Arabidopsis thaliana: one gene and its partners. The protein of the gene in region 1 purifies or fractionates together with the protein of each later gene. This does not show direct contact. Each region holds a gene or a part of one and is shown on either strand. Other genes may lie near its edges.

Region 1 (9,889 bases):
TCTTCAAATTCCACCTCAAAAGAGTTTCCTCAGCGACCTGATCAACCCGAGTGTCAATACTTCATGAGAACTGGTGACTGTAAATTCGGATCTTCGTGTCGATACCATCATCCTGTAGATGCAGTTCCACCTAAGACTGGCATTGTCCTCAGCTCCATTGGCCTTCCACTTCGTCCCGTAAGTCTTTTTTCATTTTTCTAGAGATACAAACTCGATCCAATATAAGATTTTCAACGAGTCTTGATATGATACGTTTCAATGTATTTGACAGGGCGTAGCGCAATGCACTCACTTTGCTCAACACGGAATCTGCAAGTTTGGACCGGCGTGTAAGTTTGATCACTCAATGAGTTCTTCGCTTAGCTACAGTCCGTCTGCATCATCACTAACTGATATGCCCGTGGCGCCATACCCAATCGGATCATCCTCACTCAGCGGCTCATCAGCTCCAGTAAGCTCTAGCAATGAACCCACCAAAGAGGCTGTGACTCCTGCAGTTTCTTCTATGGTCAGTGGCTTGAGCCGTCCTGAGCCAGCTGAGACGAGTGGTGACTCAGCCAGCGTCAGTGGCAGCATAGAAGCTAAGACTTCAAGTTAAAAAAAAAAAAGAGAGGAAAATATTCTCAATTCTTCATGAACTAAGCAACATTAAGAAAAAAAGAGAAAAGAAGATTATTTTTGGGGTCTGAGATTTGATGGAAGCAGAGAGACTAAAGCTTCTGTCATTGACCATTTGTCCATATATAATATATTCTCTCATACGGCCATCTCTCCTCTCTTGTTTATTTTTCTTGAATAACGAATTACTAATAAATGGCCTTATTCAAGCGACATTCATCAGAAGTCCCCTGTTTTTATTCCTTCATGAATCTGGAGGAGTAATTTAAAATGTCTGCGAACGTAGAAAGAAGCATAAACGGATATAGTGTACACATTTTCTCTTCCTCGTTCTTGTAAGTTGTATCCAATGACATCTACATTCAATCACTGCACATTGCACGAACAATGCCTATGTACATCTTCTTTCCACAAAAGTATCAGATCTCTCCTCTCTAAGTAAATAAAATGCAACCGTTGAACAAAGAAGTAATAAATTGTGGAAAAAATCGTCTGTTCATATATCCCTCAGAAACTCATAACTTTTGCTTAAGCTTCAGCCTAAGTTGCCATCCAATGGCCTCAAATCCTTTTGTTCAGTTTCTTTACGGAAGAGAAGTCTACAAAATTATAATTAAGTCATTTCATTAAATCCAAGTCAAACCAGGACAAACATTCATGAAAGCAGAATGAAATCCATTTGCTATGTTTTTAACATTAGCTTAACTATATGTAACAACAAAGACTCGACAGATCCGTAAACACATAATCTCATCTCATCGACAGGTGCTTCCGCTTCTTCGTCGATGAAGGACTCTCACTTGCTTGTCTTCCTAAAGGTCGCTTTGATGGTGTTGCACTCTTCAAAGATTAAAAACCAGAAAAGCATTAACCACCTAAAGAAATCAAATCAAAAGAATACAACCTTATACATGAAAATATTGCATTATTTTACCTTCGCGAGCTTCTTCTCTTTGCGGGCTTGCCTCTCTCTTTCATCAAACTCCTGGTTCTCTTTCTCGATCAGTCGAATCAGAGTGTCGCATCTTCTTGCAAGTTCCTGACTCGTGCGGGATTTCACAAACCAGTCAAACCTGAACACAGACGATGTCCTAAATGCTGCCTTTAGCTCATCCCAATTCCCATAACCAAGTTTGTGAATCATGCAGATCTGTTTTTCACCACCAAAGTTCCTCAACAGTCAAAAACTTCATGATATAATTAATGAGACAGAACAGCAAAAAGGGAAACGAGAAAAAGACATACCATGAAACGGTCACACTCTTCATTGTACAGCTTGCCTTTGTTCTGACCATATTGAATCTTCAGTTCCAGCCAAGGGTTTCTGTAGCGATCCAGTTTCTTCCCTATGGCCTTCATGATTTCGTCTTTCCTAGAGATCCTTGCCTCTCCCCTCTCAATGTTCTTAATGATTCTATCATAGTCTACATATTTAGAGGGAAAGATGATAAACTTACTTAGCATAAGCTCTTTTTGGAGGTAGGAATTACTTAGAAACATGTAAAAACACTGCATAACTTAGCATTGAAAGGTGTTACTTACCGTTCAGCTCCTTGTACCGCTCTTTAAATACTTTGGCATATCTTTCAACTTCTTCCTCTGTTTTCCCTTCCATCTCAGAGGCAATGCTTTTTATGTCGTTGCGGCCATACTTCTCACAAGCCCTGAGGAAAGTATTAAAATCTCTTCTGCTCCATGTTGAGAAACCCTGGAGATTGACAATTACAAAAAATTAATTAAAGCCTACCAAATCAAATGTCTAAGACCACTCTAACATCAAACATATTCACTTGCCTCCTCCAATAATCCCTCCTTTTCTTCTACTTCTTCAGTAGTTAAGGGATCCCCACCTTCTAACAAAAAAATTCTTAATCAGTAATAGGTTTGCTGAAAAACATGTTAACAAAGTGGGTACATGTTAACAAAGTGGGTACAAGCTTGACCTTCTGGTTCTTCAACATCAATTGTGTCTTTCAACTGATTTTTCTGATGTGTTTGCTGAAACCAAAAAGCACAAAAAGAAGCAAGTTGCTTTTATAAGGCAAAAAAACTCGCTCTTAAGCACATCAAAGGAATCAAGTGTTTCGTTTTGAGAGAGGCCTACCATGAGATAACGTACTTCCTTTTCATACAACTCGGTCAATCTCTGAATGTTAAAGAACTGGAAATCGTGCCTGAAAGAGGGACAATAAATTAGATTTCTAGTGTAAGAAAATCATCAAAACAGGGAAAAGGCATTCAACAATGAGATGGAGGTTGTTGAGGTACTCACAACTGGGGCATGCGCGGAATTCTAGGCTCTTTAGGTTTAGCTGGAGCACCTTGCCGCAATGTTTGCTTAAAGTACTCAGATTCAGAGTAGCTGAAGATACAGTAGATAAAACAAAAGGGATGTTTCTTTTAGATATGAAGACTGGCAAAATAGGACTGCACAATGTATAAGACAGAAGTAATCATTACTTGCGCTTTCTCTCCCGCTTGGGGGGATCATTCCAATTGTCGCTTACAATCTTTTTAAAATCGAGCTTGTTTTCATCCTATGAACAAATTTACAAATATATTAGTAAATTTTATCATCAGTAATGCAGAGCAAAGCTAGGGATATGACATGAAAGTTAAGACTATGCAAAGAAATATACAAGTTACCTTATTGTCATCATCAAAATCATAGAAGTCAGCACCTACAACAAATAAAACAACAGATTATCAAAACATTACAATATTCACACAACCTAATAGGGGAAATAGTAGGTAAGTGACACCCTTACTGTCATCCATTTTAAACTGTATAGCATCTTCTGTGAATTTCTTCATCTTAGCATCAAGTTCAGCTGTTGCCTCTTCTCCTTTGGCAATGATTCTATCAATATCCTCGTCTGTGATTGTGCTATCTTTAGAACTGAACACCATCTCAGCACCATATCTTACCATTTGAAGCAACTCATCCTTATTGACAGCTGCATAGTTAAGATAAATACCAATTCTGTCAGAGATGAACCAATGCATAAAGCAATCACTGTATAACGCACTTACTTTTCTGTTCTGCCAATCTCCCTTGTTGAATAACCAGAGCATCAAGTGCTAACTTCTTGTAAGCTCTTTCAATCACTTTCTCCTCAATAGCAGACTGTAAACAAACAACACATAATTAATTTTAAACCTCTCATGGCTGTTTTAACTTGAAATTCACGGAGAGGAGACCAACCTCAGTGCAGAATCGAAACACTTGAACTTCTTTTTTTTGACCAATCCTATGGGCACGATCCTGAGCTTGCAAGTCGACTTGTGGGTTCCTGCCAGAATATGCCAGACTCGTCAAACGTGAAGAGAAAGTTCATAAACTACAGTGGACAATGATGAGAGACTTACCAATCACTATCGTAAAGGATCACAACATCTGCAGTAGCAAGATTGATACCAAGCCCTCCAGCTCTAGTAGATAACAAGAAAACAAATTTCTCACTTCCTGGCTTGTTGTAGGCTTCTATGGAGGCATCTCGTTCGTCACCACCAGTGTTTCCATCAATACGGCAATACAAGTAACCACGATACATTAAATAGTCCTCAAGAATATCCAAAAGTCTTGTCATCTGACATGTGGAAAGAAAAGAATAAGGCTCAGACTTTACATAGACAAAGGAAAAAGAGAAGATGAACTGTAAGAAACCATTATATCCAGCTGTTCTGTATTAGCGTTTACCTGAGAAAATATCAGCACCCTTGAATCACGTTCTTTCAACTTAGGAAGCAATTTATCCAAGAGAACCATCTTACCTAAAATAACAATATAGAGATGCTTCATAAAAAACTTCCACAGAAATCTGAAGGATCTAGTTTATTTCTAGCCTTACCAGCATTTGTTATAAGGTGATCTCCTGTGGTATATGGGGGACCAGGTTCTGCACCCTGGAAGAGATAGGGGTGATTGCAGCATTTACGCAGTTGCATTGCAATGTTTAGCAGACGTTTGCGTTCTCCACCAGCATTAACCGCTTCAAGATCCTTCTGCAGTAAAGCCTTGTAGTATTGCTTTTGCATCTGAGACATACCAACTTTAAGTATGGTCTCCTTCTTCGGTGGCAAACCTTTCTCAACATCTGACTTTAGTCTTCGAAGAAGAAATGGTCGAAGAACCTAAAAAGATACATGAAAGCAATTAACCTACGACTCACACAGAACAGAATAAACTCAATGCAAGGAATGGGTGCATCCATACCTTGTGCAGTTGTTGCACAACTTCTTGCTGGTCATTCTCACCAGAAATTTGAAACCATTCATCAAAAGTCTCTGCTGAACTAAAAATCTCAGGCAGAAGAAAATTTAGAAGAGCCCACAGTTCATGGAGATTATTCTGCATATATGAGGACAATATGAGTACAGCAGGCTACACAGTCATTATACGGTAAATATTAAAAGTGCCCGGAAAAGCAAAAGTTAAGAGTGCAAACAGAGCCGTACAAGAAAGGTTGTTTCAACATTCAATTAGAAGCAACTTAACAAAGAAAACTTCAATGTCCAAATATTCAAGAATAAGATAGAGCAAACACCTGAAGGGGGGTCCCCGTGATAAGAAGCCGATAATTGGTGCTAAAAAGTCTCATGGTTTTAGAAAGGAGTGAATTCTCGTTCTTGATTCGATGCGCTTCATCAATGATAATATAACGCCAGCTAAACCGACGAAGTGCTGTCTTCTCTTTGATGGCCATCTCAAAGCTTGTGACACAAATATCAAATTTCCCAGCAACTAGCAGGTCTTCTCGAATATGTCTCTGCATCAGTTAGCAGACATTTCAGAATCCTGGGATAAACGTTTACATGAAATTCTGAAATGGCAGACAGCTCATGACTTACCCTCTCCTCAGGATTACCAAGGAACTTCACAGCACGTAGGACAGGACAAAACCGGCGAATTTCGTTCATCCAATTACCAAGTGTTGATTTTGGAGCAACCACCATATGGGGACCATTGATTCCCCTGTATTCATGAAGATATGCCAACAAAGAAATCGTTTGAAGCGTCTTCCCCAGACCCTAGACCACAGGGAAAAAAAAGTTTCATGATTAGCATGACAGAATATAGAGAACTTATTCTGCTTGGATCGTTGGGGGAGAATTATTTACCATTTCATCAGCAAGAATTCCATTTATGCCATTCTCATAAAGACGAATGAGCCAGTTCAAACCAGCTAATTGGTAATCTCTCATCTTCCCTTGAATACCTGTCGATTGAGAAGAAAAATAGATGAATCTCAAGCTTTCCCAGTAATTTACGCTATACTACATACTAACTGTGAGGTCACAAAAATATGTATGGTTACGCAAATGGACGGAGATGTCAATCATATTGTACTTGTTGCTCGAGACTAGAGAGACGATTAATATACAGTAATCCTAGACTAAAGAGCAAAATACAGGTACTTACAAGAGGGCTGTGTGAGTAACCGTGTGTTTCCAGATCCAGTTAAGCCATCCTCTTCTTCCTTTAGATACTCTTCGTCTTCCTCCTCTTCAGTTATTTTGGAAGCATGACGTCCCCTGAAGGTAGAAGTTAAAACCACATAAATCAGGGCCTGGCTCATCATATTTACTCTGAAGCTAGAAGCAATGATGAACCGATATTTTAGGAAAAAATTGCATCTAACACACCTTCCTTTTGCCTTCTTCTGAGAAGAAGATCCATCACTTTTAGCAAAGTGGGCAAATAACTCAGTTTGCTGCAGAAGATACTTCAGTCTCCCTTTTCCCTTATTGTTCTAAAACACATGGAATGATTCAGAATCGTCAGAACTTAAAAGCACGAGAACGAAAAGTAGCTAAAAACCTGAAATATATAGTTCAAACAACGCACCATATCCGCGTCAATGGAAGCATTCTGCGACTCCAGCATCTCTTGAATCTTCTGCTTCTTCAACTTCTGCATCTCTTTAAGTCTGGCTTTCTCACGTTTGCTGATTTCAGCTTTTTCCTCATCTTCTTCGTCCTGCTTATACCACAATGAGCCACCATGCGCAGACATTCAATGAACTTTCACTCAACAAAAATTCGACTAAAACTAACAAACGAAGGAAGACGCGAACGCCGAATCCATTGCATTAAATGAAATTTCAACTTTCCAAGTACAAAAAAGATGCAGTTCACTGAGATTTCAAAAATCACAGCCATCAAAACGAAATTAGCCTGCAGCTACCTCGTAATCATCTTCTACGGGAGCAGCCTCTCCGTCGGAGACTGGTGATTCGTCGGCGGCGGCTACTTCGTCATCGTCGGAGCCAGAAGAACGAGCAACAGCCTCGAGCTCCTCCTCATCTTCTTCTTCATTATCCTTAACCCGCTCTTCTTCCTCCTCTGACGAGAAAGCCTCATCGGAATTCGAATTTCTCGCCATGGAAGCTACGAAATCTGCTTTCGCCTTGAGATCGAGGGTTCGCTTCGCTTGTGAGAAAGTAAAATAAAGATTTTAAAAAAAAAGTGAAACTTTAGATACAAATTGCAAAACGACCGAAGCTTCAGGGTAATTTGTAACCGTTGATTAAGCTGAATAAATATATGGCTACGATGTAACTAGTCGCTTCATCGAACGGGGAATTAGTAATTAATTACCCGCCACCTGAGCAAGAGAGTTGTTTTGGAACATTCGCGATTTGGGCTTTGTTTAATCATAGTTGGGCCTGACTGACCCATAAGACCCACTTTCAAGCCCGATATTTTCCCCAACTTATTACTATGCTGGAGCTGCTCGAGAAAGATTCTCCAGTTACACTATTTTTAATCTTTGTGATTGATCATCGCCCCCAATTTGTTAAAGCTATCTCTAATTTTATATATTTGGATTTACTAAAACCAGTTAGGTATTATTAAGATATGAAATAAAAATCATGATGAGTTCATATATATTATTACTGTTAGGTCTGACTTTTTTTGTGTTGTTCTCAGACTTGTGCAGTCACTCTGTATTGGTATCAAGAGATAAAGTTTGGTGATTTTGCTAAGACAAAACTACTCTATTTCGACTGGATTAGTATCTGAAATAGCTTTATCCATGTTAAAACATTATAATATGTTTGAGAAGTGCTGAAGTGGTCATGCTACTGGGACATTTGTTTCTTGCAGTTTAATGTTTTTACATAAAATAAGATATCCATTTACATGATTTGCAGCCACAAGCAGAAAGCAAAGTGATACCTAAGAGCATGTATAAAATTACCTTTTTCATGCAGATGATTGGTTAACCACTCCTACTGTTCTTTACTCTCCTTTTTTGTATTTTGTTTTTGATTACCGTCGCCCAATTTCCTCACCAACCTTCCCGGGGTTGGCCTAACACATTCCCATTGTATATATCTACATTATCCATAACTTATACCTATAGAAATATATTAATTTTTCTATTAATCAAAAATAGATATGCATGCAAAATTTGTTGTAACAAACATTATATGTTAACGTTGAAATAAAACTACAACATCTAGTGAATTTTCCAAAAACTATTTCGAAATTTTAAACAATGAAAAATGCAAGCTAGAAATTAAATGAATTGATATTCATGTTCCTGTATATATACATTAGTGAATAGTGTAAATAAATATAAATTTGTTTCTTGGCGTGTGGGTAATAACTACAACTCATCACCGGGACTATCTATATATATATACTCACAAATAATCTCATGTAGCGGCCAACTTCATAACTCACAGTCCAAACTTAACCACAACCTAATCCACAAAAGAGTTATAGAATCATCTGATGGCGTCTACTGAGAACCCTGACCCTGAAACTGGCAAATCTGAACCGATTCCCGCGTCGGCTACACCACCACCCTCATCAGCCGCCAGTTTCCTAGATTGTCGTAAAATAGACATTATAACAAGAGTTCTGCTTTTCTCCGCCACTCTGACTGCTCTTATAGTAATGGTGACTAGCGACCAGACAGAGATGACTCAGCTCCCTGGAGTTTCGTCTCCGGCTCCTGTCTCCGCCGAGTTCAATGACTCGCCCGCTTTCATGTTTGTCTCTTTAATTAATTAAATTCCTCCATGTTTGATCATAATCATGGAATGTTTTCTAGTTTAAACTTAATGTGTTAAATTGGCTATATATCTATGCAGATACTTCGTGGTTGCTCTCGTGGTAGCTAGTTTCTATGCGCTCATATCAACACTTGTCTCCATCTCTCTACTCTTGAAACCTGAGTTCACTGCACAGTTCTCCATTTACCTAGCCTCGTTAGACATGGTAACTTGTTTTACAAGGAACTTTGAAACTTCCATATACCATGTTAATTAGGGTGTTTTAAGTAATAATTCCGGAATATGTATATATGAACAGGTGATGCTGGGGATTTTGGCGTCTGCAACGGGAACGGCGGGAGGAGTTGCGTACATAGCGTTGAAAGGAAACGAAGAAGTTGGGTGGAACAAGATCTGTAATGTCTACGACAAGTTTTGTCGTTACATCGCAACTTCGCTTGCCTTATCTCTATTTGCTTCACTTCTTCTTCTAGTTTTATCCATCTGGTCAGCACTCTCCAAGAGAACATGAACAAAAGCTTATAAATCCATCCTTTCCCTGTACTGTGTATTTGTTCACACGTGTTTGTCTGTGTCTTGATTTGTTTTGTTTATGTTATATTAATGTAAAAGCATGCGTTTCTATATACAGTACGAAGTTGCATTCGTGTATCTCTTGTCGCGTAATATACTAATATGTAACTTCTTTATCCAAAATTCGGTCTTCATATACAACAAATTAAGATTCAAGAAAACTCTTCATATACCAATCACTGAAATCTCTCTCGAGCCCTGAGACATTGCTTGCTCACATCAAGACTTGTTGCAAGAAACACGGAGTCATCGTCTCAGGACAAAACTCATCCGAACCAAACCTTGGCGGTTTTGAGAGGATCACAGAGAACCTAAAGGACGAAAATACAGCGATAGATCTGTTCACTTACCAGAGAATGGGAGAGCACTTTTCTTTTCCCCAGATCATTTCCATGCCGTCACAGAGTTTGTCCGGAACCTTAGTCAGTTTAAGCTACCAGAAGATGATCTTCGAGCAGAGGAAGAAGAAGAGGAGAATGCTGCAGCCAAGAAGAAGAGGAGAATGCTGCAGCCAAGGAGTTTTTGACTCACTGTAGATAATATTTCCATATAAAGAAAAAACAAACCTTCCCTCTTCCTGTGAACTAAATCCTGTAGCAAAGTAAATTAATTTTGTTTGTAAATTTCAGAAAAAAACGTAATCGTAGCCTATTTCTGGTACGCTTCTTTGC
Region 2 (6,603 bases), 2.2 Mb from region 1:
TTAGCTCTTCATTGGCTCTGGATATTACTGATATTGTTGTTACAAGTGTGGTGAGGATAAGAAGTTTTGCAAGCAAAGCCATTTTTTTGTTCATGCCTATTAGTTATTACACTCTTCACTTTTTGGTAAAGGTGAATCACTATTGTCTATGGTTTACCTACTTAAGAAGAGTTACGAATTTGTAACGTTCGGAAATAGAAAATGTATTTTTCTATAAATCCACTGGTTGCAGTATGTATATTGGTGACATGTGGTTCAAGCGTTAGTTTCAACATTAACGATAAGTTAATTACTTAAGCACAAATATAACGTGAGTGGTCTTCCTCACTATTTTCTTCCCAAAGGTGATAAGGTTAATTACCTTTCTTGTTTTTAATGGGCCAGATATGGGCCTAAAATACCGTGGGGCAGTTTACGAATGTGTGACGGCGCCAAGCCGAGCCGTATATTGTTGATTGATGACCGTTACGCTCTCAGGACAAATCTGTAAATTCATATAATATTTTAAAATAAAACCCAAAAGAGCCGTTACCAAAGAGCCTCAATAAAGTCCGCATCTTTTTTTCTCTGCGATTCACAAATCTACACTTCTCTCTCTCTCTCTAACCACAAAGCTTCCATGGCGTCAGATCAGAGCACGAATCCACCGATCATGGAGGCAAAGACAAGACATCCTCTTCACCAGATCGCAGATACACCAACACACAAGCTTCTCCTGAAACAATGGTTAAAAGAAGAAGAGCTAATTCTAAGCCGTGTCTCTCACAAAGAATCTCAGATCGATTCTGTTCGAAGAGAAATCACTCAGCTCTACATCTTCTTCTTTCTCTTCCACTCCATTTCTCTGCTACTTCTCTTCCACGCTTCTTCATCCTCATCTTCCTCTGCTTCTTCCAGTGCTTGTAAAAGATCATGGATCCCTTCACTCTGCGCTCTGCTATCTTCCTTGGGGATCATTTGGGCGGTACGGTACAAATCTGAAGTGGAATCGCATCTTGAGAAGTTGTTGGAGAGGGAGAAAGAAGATGCGAAGCTGTTGCGTAAATGTGTTGAAGAGTTGAAGAAGAAAGGTATCGAATTTGATTTGCTTAAGGAAGTGGATGCGCTTCGTAGAGCCAAGAGTTTAAGAGTTGAGTCGAAGCCTGTGAAGAAATGGTCTGCTAGGGATTTTGTGACGCTCTTCTTCTTCTCTGTTTCGTGTTTGGTTCTTGCCATGATTAGACTCATTCTCTGCGATTGATTCTTTTGCTCTTTTGTTGCTATGCTTTAGCAGAATTCTCTGGTTTCTGCAATTTTAGTGATAATAAAGAAAAACAACATGTTTGATTCATCTCCTTCAATCCTTTTTTGTAATGTTAATTTGTTTTGTCGACATTTTCAAAGAATTGAGCAAAAACATATCCATACATACTTGAAGATCCATTTCAACATCAACAAAAATTTGATCATCTTCAAAAGTTAAAAACCAGACCTGATAAATAATCAAAAGCTTGTTCTTTTGTTTAAGACAGACTCAATTGTAGAAAATCTGATAATTATATATGTTTTTAGTTGTTTTTAAGTCATAAACTCGCAAGACAGAGACTCAAGCTTGTTTTCATTTGGCTAAGACAGACTTAATTCAAAAGTAGAAAACCTTATCTAATTTGCGCTATGTTTAAAGTTGTTCTTAAAGTCAAAACCCTATGTAGAAGAAAGAAAACTAAAAACTAGTGTATTACACAGACTTGTTTGTTTATTCATCATCTTGTGACTTAGTTTTCTTCTTCTTCTTGCTATGGCCATTATCTGTTGCTGTCAATTCCTCTCCTTCTACTGCTTTGCTTTTCTTTTTCTTTTTCTTTGATTTCTCCTCTTCCTTCTCCTCCTCCTTCTCCTCTGTCTTTCTCTTCTTTTTCTTCTCCGAAGCATCCACTGTTTTTTCTCCCTCGTCTTAAAAAAAGAAGAAACAACCCATCAAACAAAACCGTTTACCACAACAGATCAGAGAGCTTTGTTGGGTCATATGTACCTTTCTTCTCAAGATTTTCCAACACTTCTTTCATTACATCAACATTCTTACGTGGGGCAACACCTTTGTCATAAAAGTCAAGTCTTTCCTCTACTTGTTCCCTTAGTTTCTCACCGAAAGCTGTAGTGCTGTTATCTGCATAACACAACCACCATGATTTTGTAGTTAATAACAACGCATCATCTCCCAAACACCTCTCTCTTATTCAGGACATTCTCTAGATTATTACCTGAGAAACAATCAATCCGGGAAGCAATGGAACACTTGTTTGCAAGGAAACGAGCAATACGGCCCTTGTTTTTAGCAGATGCACGCCCGATGAATGATGAATGGAATATTAGACCATATTTGGGTGTGTTTCCACGTGTTTTCAGTGCCCTGAAATTAACACCAAAGTTAGTTACTGCAGTGTAATTAAACTTGTAAAGACTAACAAAGCTTGAAATGCACCTGAAAAGTGCCTTCTCAGCACCGAGAATCTGGAGGGTTGAAGATGGGCACTTGGCAAGATTTGTCAGACTTCCTGCATGTGAAATCAACCTAGCCCCAACCATCTCTCCGATCAAGGCCGCCAAATTTGGAGCAATGTCACTCATTTTAGTAACAAGATAATCATAGAGCTTCTTCCTGTAATCTGCAAGGTCCATAACTCTCTGAGCAAAGGTCTGGACATTGATCAGATCAACCGGTGATAAATCCTGGCCTTCAAATAGAGAAAACAACAATGTCTTAGAACATGAGAAACAATAGATATATTGTAAAGATTCATGATTCTTATCGAACATGCTACATCAGTTTATTACCCATAGATGCTTTTCCAGCTTCAATAACCTCTCTTGCCTTATCTTCATCACCCAGGGCTTCAGTAAGCATAGGGATGTGCTCTTCAGACAACTTTGACTTGTCGACGATAATCTTTGAAACTTTGGCGTAGAGGTAGTTGTCATTAACTATCTTGACAAGCTCAGGGAAGTGCCATGAGTACCATTCTCTGCAAAAACATAATATGAGCTGCTCAGAAACCATTTTCTCTTACGGTAACAGACAAGACATAATCTGAAAGGCAAAACAATAAGAAAACAAACCTGACTCTCATAGCAAAGGAATTGATATCCTTATCAAGTGTGTCAAGCATGAAAATAGCTTGAATAACCATGTTATCCACCCGGTTAACATTGAACTTCACCTTTGCTCTGCTGTAGCTATGAGCTAGTCCAAGTTGAGCTTTTTCCAAATCACCAGGCTACATTATAAAGAAGATGATATTGAGCACGAATAGCAAAAATATGTGTAGGTATTAGGTAATCAAAAATAAAAAACACACCTTCAAGTCTTTGATGAACCTATCGAAATGCTGACGCACACCTCTAAGGAGCTCATGGACAAACTCATTGCTCTGGCAAGGAATTTTGGTAGCTTCAAAAATGCAAGAACCGATTTTAGGCTCAGACACTCCCAAACTAAACTTGGGCTTCTTGCCTTCCTTCACTTTCGGGAGATTCAGCTCCAGAAAACTTCTCAGCTCATCGCTCATGTATCCTACGATTTTTAAGGTGTAAAAACAATACAAATATTAATACTTTATTATCAAGACCTCCAGCAAAAGCTAAAACAGAACAGAATAAGCTGATTCCAACAGTAGTAAGAGCTCAATTTCTAAGAATTAAGCTCTTTCCAGCATAAACTATAATAGAAGCAAGTAATAAAGTATATGGTGCAGGAAACTAAAGAGGGAAAGAGCTGTAATTTAGTAGTGAGTTCACCTTCAGAGACGGCGTTGATTTGGTTAAGAGCATCGAGTGCAGACTGGAACGGGTGAAAAGCAGTGAGCTGGACGACCCGCCCGAACCGACTAAGGTCCGAGACGGAGCTCCGAACCGCCTCCGTGTTCTGTCCAATCTCATCGGAACCGTGTCCCTCGAACAATCCGTAGCCGGAGGGTGATTCGGAAAGAAGATAAATCTTCATTGTAGAGAGAATTCTGTAAAAACCCTAGCCGTCTTTTTCAAAATTGATTTGAAAATCGAGTATTTATGCAGTTTCCGTTTCGGAGAAGAATAAGAGAAATTAGGGTTTAAGGTTATTTCGCACGGAAGATGATGCGGCTTTGCTCTTAGATTAACTACATGGGCCTGGCCCATTAATTCTATCGGACTCAACCAAAATGACTAGCATGGGTCAATGGTCTTCATGTAAGGAAAAAAAAACAAGCTTTTGTTATACAAAGAGGGAAAAGTTTAGGTGGTCTCAGGTGAAGTACACGCGCGTGGGCTTCAGTTACTGTGGAAGGGCCCGTACCAGATCATATCAGTTAGTAATATAAACAAACTAATTGATCCGTTACAGAGTTGAGAGTCGTCTTCTTTCTTGTTGATCATCTTCTTCTTCTTTCTCCTGTAAAATTAATCTGTAACAGAGAGAAAGAGAGATACAAGAGAGATAGAAGGTCCTGTAGTCACATCATCGAAGGGATTGCTGAAGACCGTACGTGTGAGTTCTTAAGATTCTTTCGCTCAAGAATCTGCAACAGAACAAGACGATTAGCTCAACTAGTGAATCAATTATACTCGTACAGATTCAATTTGCGAAATCTCTCGATTAGAAAGAGGAACTGAGGTCAGTTTAACTCTTCTTTATTCCCAAATCGTGCAAAGTTGCGGTAAATGTAATGTTTCGATTGAAGCTTTTGACTTTGATGCATGGGTTTATTTGTTATGTAAAATCATATTGCAGTAGAAACTTAGCTTCATCTTTTATGCTAGTAAATGAGATCTATCTCTCAGAACTGTTAATTTGTGTTGTTGGGACACTTCTCTAACTTTCTTTGTGTTTCTTGAATAGGAAGCAATCGTCGTTTAAATTTATTAATCGTCATAGATTCAATTTGGAGAAATTCTATCGCTTAGCAAGATAAACAGGTAACTTCAACTATTTTTCTTTCCAAATCGTGCAAAGTTTCTTTGATTGAATCTTTTGATTTTGGTGAATGATTTTGTTTTTGTGACATAATTCGTTTTTGTAGCAGACTTACTTAATTTTTCATGCAATTAAATGAGATTTCTCTCTCGGAACAGTTAATCTGTGTTACTTTCTTTAATGTTTCTTGCATGTGAAGTAATCTCCGTTTAGAGTTAATCTTGTCAGTTTTAATTTGGAGAATCCATCGACTAGCTAGATTAACAGAGCATTGAGTTTGGTAGAAAAATATTGTTTATGACACACACAAATTTGTTTTCGCAGCAGAAACTTAGCTTAGTTAATTTGTTAATCAGATTTAACTTCATTTATCTTTCTTAAGTGTTTCTTGCAGACTAAGTATTGAAAAAACTATTGGTTAACAAGATGGATATTGAGGTAATTTTAAATAGTTTTTTTTTTTTCAGTTTAGTTCGTGCAATGTTGCGTTTTACTGTAAAATCTATTGGGTTATTGTTGTCAACAAAAAAGAAGAAGAACATATTGTTATCGTTAAGTTGAAAATCTTGTTTAATGACCTTTACTTAGGGTGATGATCAATTGGACTTGGATGTGGAAGCTTATTCACGAAACTACGAAGGACGAAACCTAGTGCTGAGGCTACTTCATATCGCAGAGAATTCTGTTGGCCCGATGTTCACTGACGATTTGGAACTTGAAGCCCTTCGACTTGCCTATGATCTTATCCGGAATGACGGAATTGTCTGTGACATGCGTTTGTTCACAGTTATAGCTGAAAAAATACAAGGCAGATTAGGAGAAGGTTATCTCTTGGATGAAAAATGGCGTCTTACTAAGAACAACAATTTCGTCAAACAAGACAGCATTCTAAGAAACGACTTAGAAAGTGCTACGGTAAGGAAAAGTGACTATAAAACTTTGCTTGCGCAACAAGATTCCATATTGTACATCTAATCTTCTATTCTTTTGCAGGACGAACTCGAAAAAGACCGTCTTGCACTTCGTCAGTATTGGCTCCATTACCACTGTGGCCAAATGGCGATCGTTTTCCGACCATATCCCCGGCAGGTCCAAACTATCGATGCTTACATGGCTACACTATTGGTGGCCCTCGAGACCCGCAACTTTGGGGAGCTTCCCCACCGAAGTGTCGAACAGATAGCTTACTGCAACGTAAAAAGGGCATATGGCTTCAAAATTGACTGCTTTAAGTCTCTTTCTAATCTTTTAGAAAGCAAGTATCAAGTTACTGCGGAAGGGGTAAAAATTCTCCTTAACTTTAACACAGTTTTTTTTATTAATATTAAATTGTGATTCGTTATCTAAATTTTATCTATATAATGTAGTTTGTACAGCTTTGGAAAGAAGTAGACAATTATAATTATAGGGAGGTGATCTCATCAGAAGATATTGTTCTCTTTGGACTAGTCTGTGCAATGGCTACATTTAGTAAATCCACACTTCAAGTACGTAATAAATTTTTGTGACCACTTAATTTTATTATGGGTAGCCCACATTTAACTTAAAACTCATTGTATTTTTGTAGAATGCCGTTGATACAATCGTTAACCCTATCGGGCAAGTCGCTAGTCATTTGGAAAACGTTATCAAACCGTTTGGGCCATGTGACTATCTAATTGATGTCATCAAGAAGT
Region 3 (6,984 bases), on another chromosome or scaffold:
CTCTCTTTGAGATTTATAAGCGAGTTTCTTCTTTCTTAGAGAAATATGAAAAGCCTTTTTTATTGGAAAATTCAAAAACACTTAATTACTTAGGAAAATACAACGTCGTCAACAGATAATGAGTCTCTCTTTTGGTTAATGACTCATTTATATATTTGATTATTTCAATGGATTTTCACATATCTCCACTTTGCAAGACTCCGGGCGACGAAACCGCAGAAACTATTGTTGGGGTGAGTTGGTGATACATGGCCCATTTAACGGTCCACTATCCCCAATGTATCCATGTTATTAAGGAAGAATTAAAAAGTTTTTATAAGCGACGATATTCATCTCAAGATAATTAATCTCTAGTTTTTTTTTCCTTAAGGATTGATGAGCGTAATTTCTACAACATCAGTTTAGTATGATTATTAGATGGTGAAGTGTTAAGTAATTGTCGCCTAAATGAGACCATGCATGAATAAAAATCGTGATAAAAGAGGGAATCATTTATTTATATGGGGGATGCATGGTAAGCATCGATGTTGTTGAGTTACATAGAGATAAAAAGGTGGAGTAATTAGAAGCGATCAATGATTCTCATGGCAGCATCAGAGAGTTGAGTATAGATACTGATTTGACTAAACAGTTGAAGAAACTCAAACTCGACACTTGGTTGCTTTAATCCACAGCTATGAGGAATGCTAGCATACTCTATCGATTTGGCGGCTTTGTCGTAATCACCGGTTTTCAGACCTGTTTTGGCTTCCGACAGTAGTTTAGGTGCCACCGTCGACGTGTCATTTCTGCAATCCTCCAAGATTTTTCTCACTTCTTTCGTTCCTCCTCCCAGTGACAATATATTTGTAATGTTACTAGAACAATAAAAAGATTGATATATTAGTTAGAGAATATTGTCATATATCTAAGTTAATATATATGTATGGTTATTAGAAGGGAAAACTTGCTTGGTGATGATATCGAGACGAGAGTCGAGACAGTGTATGATGATCTCGGCGATGCCAACACGGTCTGCATGAACGGAGGTTGGGTCGGATTCAAGACATTGCATGCAAATGGTCGGAACTTGTGCATTATGGCATTCCTCTTTCATCAGGTCCTTCTCGGCGCAAATCGGAGAGATCACGAGCAGAGCTAACAGGAGAAACTTGATCATTATCGTCATTATGCGAAGTATATTTCCTATGATTGATTATGTTATATTTCTTTGAGGGGTGTGAATTTCTTATTTGTACTAAGAATATGGGACTGGGAATGTGGTTGGTCACGAGTTTATCTATCCTTCTCAAAAGGAGGTAGCTCTATTGTTTACTTACACAAGTTTTAACATCTATTCAATTTTACCTTTTGTTAATGTTAACTGACCATTCAAACGCGAGCTGCTCTTCTTCTATTACTCCATTTGGGTAAAATAATAAATCATATGGCTCCAAATTCATTTTCACAAACTTGTTAAGCTAGTTTTCCAATTTGGTAGTTAGTTTAGCTATTATTGAAACATTTGCAAAGCACTGGAATTGGTAATTGTATTTTATAAAATGGAGGAGCCTCCTTCACGGTTGCAAACGTCAAAATAGTGAAAACCTAAACAAACTTAAGATATTGCCAAACCTTGAATCGTTTCCAGACCAAAACAAAAATTCTCCGATGTTCACTACGAAAAACAGACGACATTAATTTAGCTCAAAAAAAAAATACAATACAGGGTTTGTTAATGTTGCATCCCTTTCTATTCAGCGCTCTTAGACTTCTTCTTCTTCTTCTTGGTGCTGTGACCATCATCAGTCTCCTCTTCTCCTCCAGCTTTACTCTTCTTTGTCTTCTTCTTCTCTGATTTCTCGTTCTCCTCTGCAGTCTCCATCTTCCTCTTCTCTTTCTTCTTCTTTTTCTCTGACTTGTCCTCCTCCATTGCCACCACCTCTTCTTCTTCTTCACCCTTTGCCTTCTTCTTCTTGCTTTTCTTCACCGAGGCATCAACTGGCTCCTTCCCTTCCTCTTCTAAAGGAGGAACAGATAAAAAAACACTGAGTTTGCCATCATAAAGAGGACTCTGATTACAACCAAAAAAAAACAGCTACAAGAAATACCTTGCTTTAGATTCTCTATCACCTCCTTCATTACATCCACGTTCTTGCGTGGGGCAACACCTTTGTCATAAAATTCTAGCCTTTCCTCAACTTGTTCGCGAAGCTTCTCACCAAAAGCAGTAGTTGCACCATCTGCATAGGACATCAGGGCACATAATTTAACACTTTCACAACAGAATTCATAATCCAAAACTCTTCTTCAAGGAGTTTCAGATTTTTACCAGCAAAACAATCAATCCGGGATGCTATAGAGCACTTGTTTGCAAGATAACGAGCGATACGGCCCTTGTTCTTAGCAGATGCTCGGCCAATGAAGGAAGAATGGAAAATCAATCCATACTTGGGAGTGTTTCCACGTGTTTTAAGTGCCCTGAAATACCACAGCAGTTCATGTCACAAGCAGCACTAAAAGGAAACTGGTGAACATTAAAAATATAGTGCCAGATATTGCACCTGAAAAGAGCCTTCTCGGCTCCAAGAATCTGGAGGGTGGAAGATGGGCATTTAGCAAGGTTAGTCAGACTTCCAGCATGTGAAATCAAACGGGCACCGACCATTTCTCCAATCAAAGCAGCCAAATTAGGGGCAATGTCGCTCATCTTAGTGACAAGATAATCATAGAGCTTCTTCCTGTAGTCAGCAAGGTCCATAACTTTCTGAGCAAAGGTCTGTACGTTGATTAAGTCAAGCGGTGATAAATCCGAGCCTGCCAATAGGGAAGAGAGTAAATGTCTCAGGACATAAGTTAACAGAAACACACATTAACTCAAAGCTACCAAAAAAGTCAGCTCAAAATTTTTACCCATGGATGCTTTTCCAGCTTCGATGACCTCCTTTGCCTTATCTTCATCCCCTAAGACTTCAGTAAGCATGGGGATGTGATCTTCAGTCAACTTTGACTTGTCATCAATCATCTTTGAAACACGGGCGTAAAGATAGTTGTCATTGACTATCTTCACTAGTTCGGGGAAGTGCCACGAATACCATTCCCTGTAATAACATTATAAACAGTTCAGCTACCAATTTTCTCGAGGAAAACACACAATCTGAAAGGGAAAAGCACAAAACAAACCTGACTCTCATGGCAAAGGAATTGATATCCTTATCAAGCGTGTCAAGCATGAAGATAGCTTGAATAACCATGTTATCCACTCGGTTAACATTGAACTTCACCTTGGCTCTGCTGTAGCTGTGAGCTAATCCAAGCTGAGATTTTTCAAGATCACCAGGCTACATAAACAGAAATTTTTTATGAGAACACAAACCATATGAGATAAGCAAACAGACAAAAAGATTTTAAACACATAGAAAGGAGATCACACCTTTAAGTCCTTGATAAACCTATCAAAATGCTGGCGAACACCTCTGAGAAGCTCAAGAACAAACTCATTGCTCTGGCATGGGATTTTAGTAGCTTCAAATATATGTGAACCGAGTTTAGGCTCAGCCAATCCTAAACTGAACTTGGGTTTCTTTCCCTCCTTGACCTTAGGAAGATTCAACTCCAGAAAACTTCTAAGCTCATCAGTCATAACACCTACCAATATCACATTAAAACCAATTCCAAAAGCATCAATGACAAAACCAAAACAATGAAACAAAAACAGAACACAAAAACAAGAATCAACCATAAATTAAAGCTCTTTCTACAATATATCCAGGAAATTTGAACTATAAGGTTTTAAATCGAAGTGTCTACTCTAGCTCTAAATACAAGAACAAGCTACTCAACACAACACATGAATATACAGAACAAAGAATAAGAAGAGAGTAATGAAGAGTCTGACCTTCAGAGACGGCGTTGACTTGGTTGAGAGCATCGAGAGCAGACTCAAAGGGATGAAACGCTGTGAGCTGAACAACACGGCCAAAGCGACTGAGGTCGGAGACAGAAGTCCGAACCGCCTCAGTGTTCTGTCCGATCTCATCTAGTCCGTGAACCTCGAAGAGACCATAGCCGGAAGAAGACTCGTAGATAACATACATCGCCATTTTTTGAGGAGAAGAAACTAAAACCCTAAAGACCTACTGAGCGAGAAGAAATATACAACGAACGAAACTAGGGTTTCAGGGGTTTAATAAGCGCATCTGTTGATGGCGCTGCTCTTGAAAAATTCAATGGGCCAGGCCCATTTAACGGTGTGTTAGTTGTACTAGCTTATAAAATGCCCGGCCCATCACAACAGGTTAACTTTCTTTTTTTTTTTTTTTTTTTTTTTTTTTGGTCATCCTTGCAAGATATCAAAAGTTTGTTACAAAAATTGAAAAATTGTCAACTAAAATATTATTATTGAATGAAAGTGAAATCTGTTTCTCCACATCCTTATATAGAAGAAAATTGTCAACTTCCATATACAAGCATATCAAATTATAGAGGGGACAATCTTCATCTTCCCTCCTTGATCTTGAATCCAACCATTGGCTTCGATTCGCCGTCTCTAAGTGGCATCTCCGGGCCAGGCGCTATAAAGCTCGTCGAGAAGCTAGTGTCTTTCGTTTGAAAGTTGCTGAATGAGGAGCTTGTGGTGTCATCAAATGTACAGTCGGTTAGGTAGCCTGGCTTAGAGGTGGCATCATTGACCTCAGCATCTCCTGACAACATGGCTACTACTCGTGACATTGGTGGTCTCAACGCATAAGATGACTGAGTGCAAAGCAGAGCAATGCCAATCATGCGTTTCACTTCTTCCATGTTGTATTCACTTAGCTCATCATCTATTAGTTCAACGTCACGGTTTTTCTCGTGTAGATTCCATGCCTGTATACAAGAAATACAAAAGGATTATCGGCTTTTGTCATTTATCACACCATCTTCAACTTCGCCTATATGACAAATATAGACGTACCCATTCAAGAAGATATTTTTTTCCCTCTTCCAGGTTCTCATCAGAGTTTTTCCTTCCACTCACTAGCTCAAGAGCCACAACACCAAAGGCATACACATCTGTTTTCTCTGTTAGATGTCCACGCATGGCATACTCTGGCGCAAGATACCCACTGCATTGATACAACTAACATGAGCTATAAAGCCATAATTGTGTTGCAAACAAAATGTCAGGGTCTATGGATTTTGCTTACATCGTCCCTGCCACTCTGGTACTAATATGGGTTTTCTTGTCATCATATAGTTTTGCAAGCCCAAAATCAGAAACTTTTGGGACCAGTTCAGAGTCCAGTAAAATGTTGCTGGCCTTCACATCTCTGTGTATTATGCGAACACTTGCTTCCTCGTGGAGATAAACTAGACCTCTGGCTACTCCCAGACATATCTCATAACGGGTTGACCAATCAAGATGCAAACTCTTATCCCCTGTAACATCCAACCCAATGGCATAATGATTACTTTAGCTTGGCAGAAGCAGAGATAGGTAAGTCATGTTTCTGTTCATTACCAAATAATGCCTGATCGAGACTTCCATTAGGGAGATACTCATATACGAGCAAACGATGATCTCCTTCAAAGCAGCACCCGTAAAGTTTTACTAGGTTGCGATGTAGAACTGAAGAAATTGCAATAATTTCTGCAACAAATTGTCCCTTCCCTTGCCGTGATCCAATTGACAACTGCTTCACCGCCACCTCTCTTCCATCATTGAGGTTTCCCTGTTGAACGTGTTATTCAAAACAAAACGTATTAAAAGGTATTACATGTACCCTTCTTTCCTAGTATCTCAGAAAAATATACAGCTATTTTGTTCGATTCAGTAAGGGACTTACCTTATAAACAGCCCCAAACCCTCCCTCTCCAAGCTTGTTTGAGAGATCAAAATCTTGTGTTGCATTCTTAAGTTCCGAGTAAGTAAAGGTGTAAGGCTTTACGTCCATACTAAGTATCTCTGCCATAAAAAATTCACTACTTAAAATCAACCAATTTAACAGATGATAGTCAACTTTAATTTTGATCAGAGAGCTAAAGTTATTCAGCTCAAGGGCTTGTTTATGTTCTTATTACATCTGTACCTTCATCATCTGTGTACGGTTTTCTTCTTTTTCGAATGACGAGGATAACCACACCCGCAAAGATGCTCAAAAGTCCAACACCAACAATGACACCCACAATAGTACCAGTCCTGCTCTTTCCCTTTGATGGTGGCCTATTAGCCACAGTTGGTGTGAAATCTGAACAAGAATATGTGACACGGCACTAACTAGTATCGGGAGATAGTGAAAATCAGAGGAAAAAAAATATATCAACCGTTTGTGTTACCTGGTGTCGCACTGACGGCCGCTATTAATGGCCCATAAGCCCCTTGGATAGGAATACAACATGTTCCTTTTCCAGCCCAGAAAAGATGGACTTCGAGATGATTTTCTGATACATTTGTTTTATATTCTCTCTGAACTGCTCGAACCGAAGAGCCACCAGCTGTTCTGCGTATATCAAAATCCTTTTCAACAAGTCTTCCCTGGAAAAATGGAGCTAGATCTTAGAATTCATCAGAACCAAAAAGTAACATTTGTGAACCGGAAAGCTCGATCAAGTGGTGCAGACCTGGACATAAATGTTAAAACGTCGTCTTCCAATACCTTTCCAAGAGTTAGAACCTTCAATTTGTACTTCAGCAAACTGAAGTGTTACGGTGTACCCTCCATTTTCTAGCCCCAACCCATAATACCTTAGGGAAGATGCAGAAAGTCGTGCTGACTGAAAAAGCTCTGAGTCCATAGTGTTGATAAATTGTGCTAGTGAAGTAGCTATGTATATATTGTTGCTACTGCCAGCAAAATTTCCTACACTACTGGCTGCCCATCTCTTTGCAGCACTCACAACAAACGAAGCTGGTCCAAGATCCGCGTCCTCCTTTTCAAATAGTGCTCCACTAACAGACCTTATCTCTGGGCCTCCGCAGTTGATCGAAAAGTTATAATCTAGACACCAGTCAATAGCGAAAGT

Evidence for each region. Proteins that work in one complex are often made in the same cells at the same time.
Region 2: the proteins of CHR11 (region 1) and AT3G12860 fractionate together in Arabidopsis thaliana (co-fractionation; one large-scale study listed by BioGRID). This does not show direct contact.
Region 3: the proteins of CHR11 (region 1) and NOP56 fractionate together in Arabidopsis thaliana (co-fractionation; one large-scale study listed by BioGRID). This does not show direct contact.

Annotation. Positions count from the first base shown.
Region 1 is NC_003074.8:1,938,180-1,948,068, reverse strand, and holds CHR11 (chromatin-remodeling protein 11), read right to left. Parts: upstream 7,097-9,889; 5' UTR 7,004-7,096; coding exon 6,806-7,003; intron 6,599-6,805; coding exon 6,467-6,598; intron 6,372-6,466; coding exon 6,265-6,371; intron 6,154-6,264; coding exon 6,041-6,153; intron 5,838-6,040; coding exon 5,740-5,837; intron 5,650-5,739; coding exon 5,470-5,649; intron 5,388-5,469; coding exon 5,166-5,387; intron 4,970-5,165; coding exon 4,835-4,969; intron 4,753-4,834; coding exon 4,470-4,752; intron 4,393-4,469; coding exon 4,319-4,392; intron 4,209-4,318; coding exon 3,988-4,208; intron 3,912-3,987; coding exon 3,824-3,911; intron 3,746-3,823; coding exon 3,652-3,745; intron 3,576-3,651; coding exon 3,381-3,575; intron 3,300-3,380; coding exon 3,265-3,299; intron 3,156-3,264; coding exon 3,079-3,155; intron 2,981-3,078; coding exon 2,891-2,980; intron 2,793-2,890; coding exon 2,723-2,792; intron 2,617-2,722; coding exon 2,562-2,616; intron 2,472-2,561; and 12 more. Other genes in the region: AT3G06410 (Zinc finger C-x8-C-x5-C-x3-H type family protein), read left to right, coding at 1-177, 272-598; AT3G06390 (Uncharacterized protein family (UPF0497)), read left to right, coding at 8,362-8,621, 8,724-8,850, 8,944-9,156. UniProt on the Arabidopsis thaliana protein: Possesses intrinsic ATP-dependent nucleosome-remodeling activity. Constitutes the catalytic subunit of several complexes capable of forming ordered nucleosome arrays on chromatin. Involved in the formation of nucleosome distribution patterns.
Region 2 is NC_003074.8:4,089,054-4,095,656, reverse strand, and holds AT3G12860 (NOP56-like pre RNA processing ribonucleoprotein), read right to left. Parts: upstream 4,091-6,603; 5' UTR 3,980-4,090; coding exon 3,775-3,979; intron 3,551-3,774; coding exon 3,336-3,550; intron 3,255-3,335; coding exon 3,097-3,254; intron 3,003-3,096; coding exon 2,815-3,002; intron 2,715-2,814; coding exon 2,462-2,714; intron 2,390-2,461; coding exon 2,241-2,389; intron 2,147-2,240; coding exon 2,012-2,146; intron 1,933-2,011; coding exon 1,736-1,932; 3' UTR 1,462-1,735; downstream 1-1,461. Other genes in the region: AT3G12880 (Plant invertase/pectin methylesterase inhibitor superfamily protein), read right to left, coding at 1-94; AT3G12870 (uncharacterized protein), read left to right, coding at 620-1,240; AT3G12850 (COP9 signalosome complex-related / CSN complex-like protein), read left to right, coding at 5,354-5,365, 5,516-5,842, 5,921-6,208, 6,495-6,603.
Region 3 is NC_003070.9:20,982,812-20,989,795, forward strand, and holds NOP56 (NOP56-like pre RNA processing ribonucleoprotein), read right to left. Parts: upstream 4,142-6,984; 5' UTR 4,083-4,141; coding exon 3,878-4,082; intron 3,628-3,877; coding exon 3,413-3,627; intron 3,321-3,412; coding exon 3,163-3,320; intron 3,081-3,162; coding exon 2,893-3,080; intron 2,797-2,892; coding exon 2,544-2,796; intron 2,461-2,543; coding exon 2,312-2,460; intron 2,223-2,311; coding exon 2,091-2,222; intron 2,002-2,090; coding exon 1,733-2,001; 3' UTR 1,592-1,732; coding exon of another isoform or gene 1,548-1,591; 3' UTR 1,524-1,547; coding exon of another isoform or gene 1,490-1,523; 3' UTR 1,462-1,489; downstream 1-1,461. Other genes in the region: AT1G56100 (Plant invertase/pectin methylesterase inhibitor superfamily protein), read right to left, coding at 947-1,168; AT1G56105 (uncharacterized protein), read left to right, coding at 926-1,071, 1,100-1,176, 1,243-1,298, 1,490-1,523, 1,548-1,591; AT1G56120 (Leucine-rich repeat transmembrane protein kinase), read right to left, coding at 4,477-4,848, 4,937-5,087, 5,169-5,400, 5,483-5,693, 5,808-5,926, 6,051-6,209, 6,298-6,496, 6,583-6,984.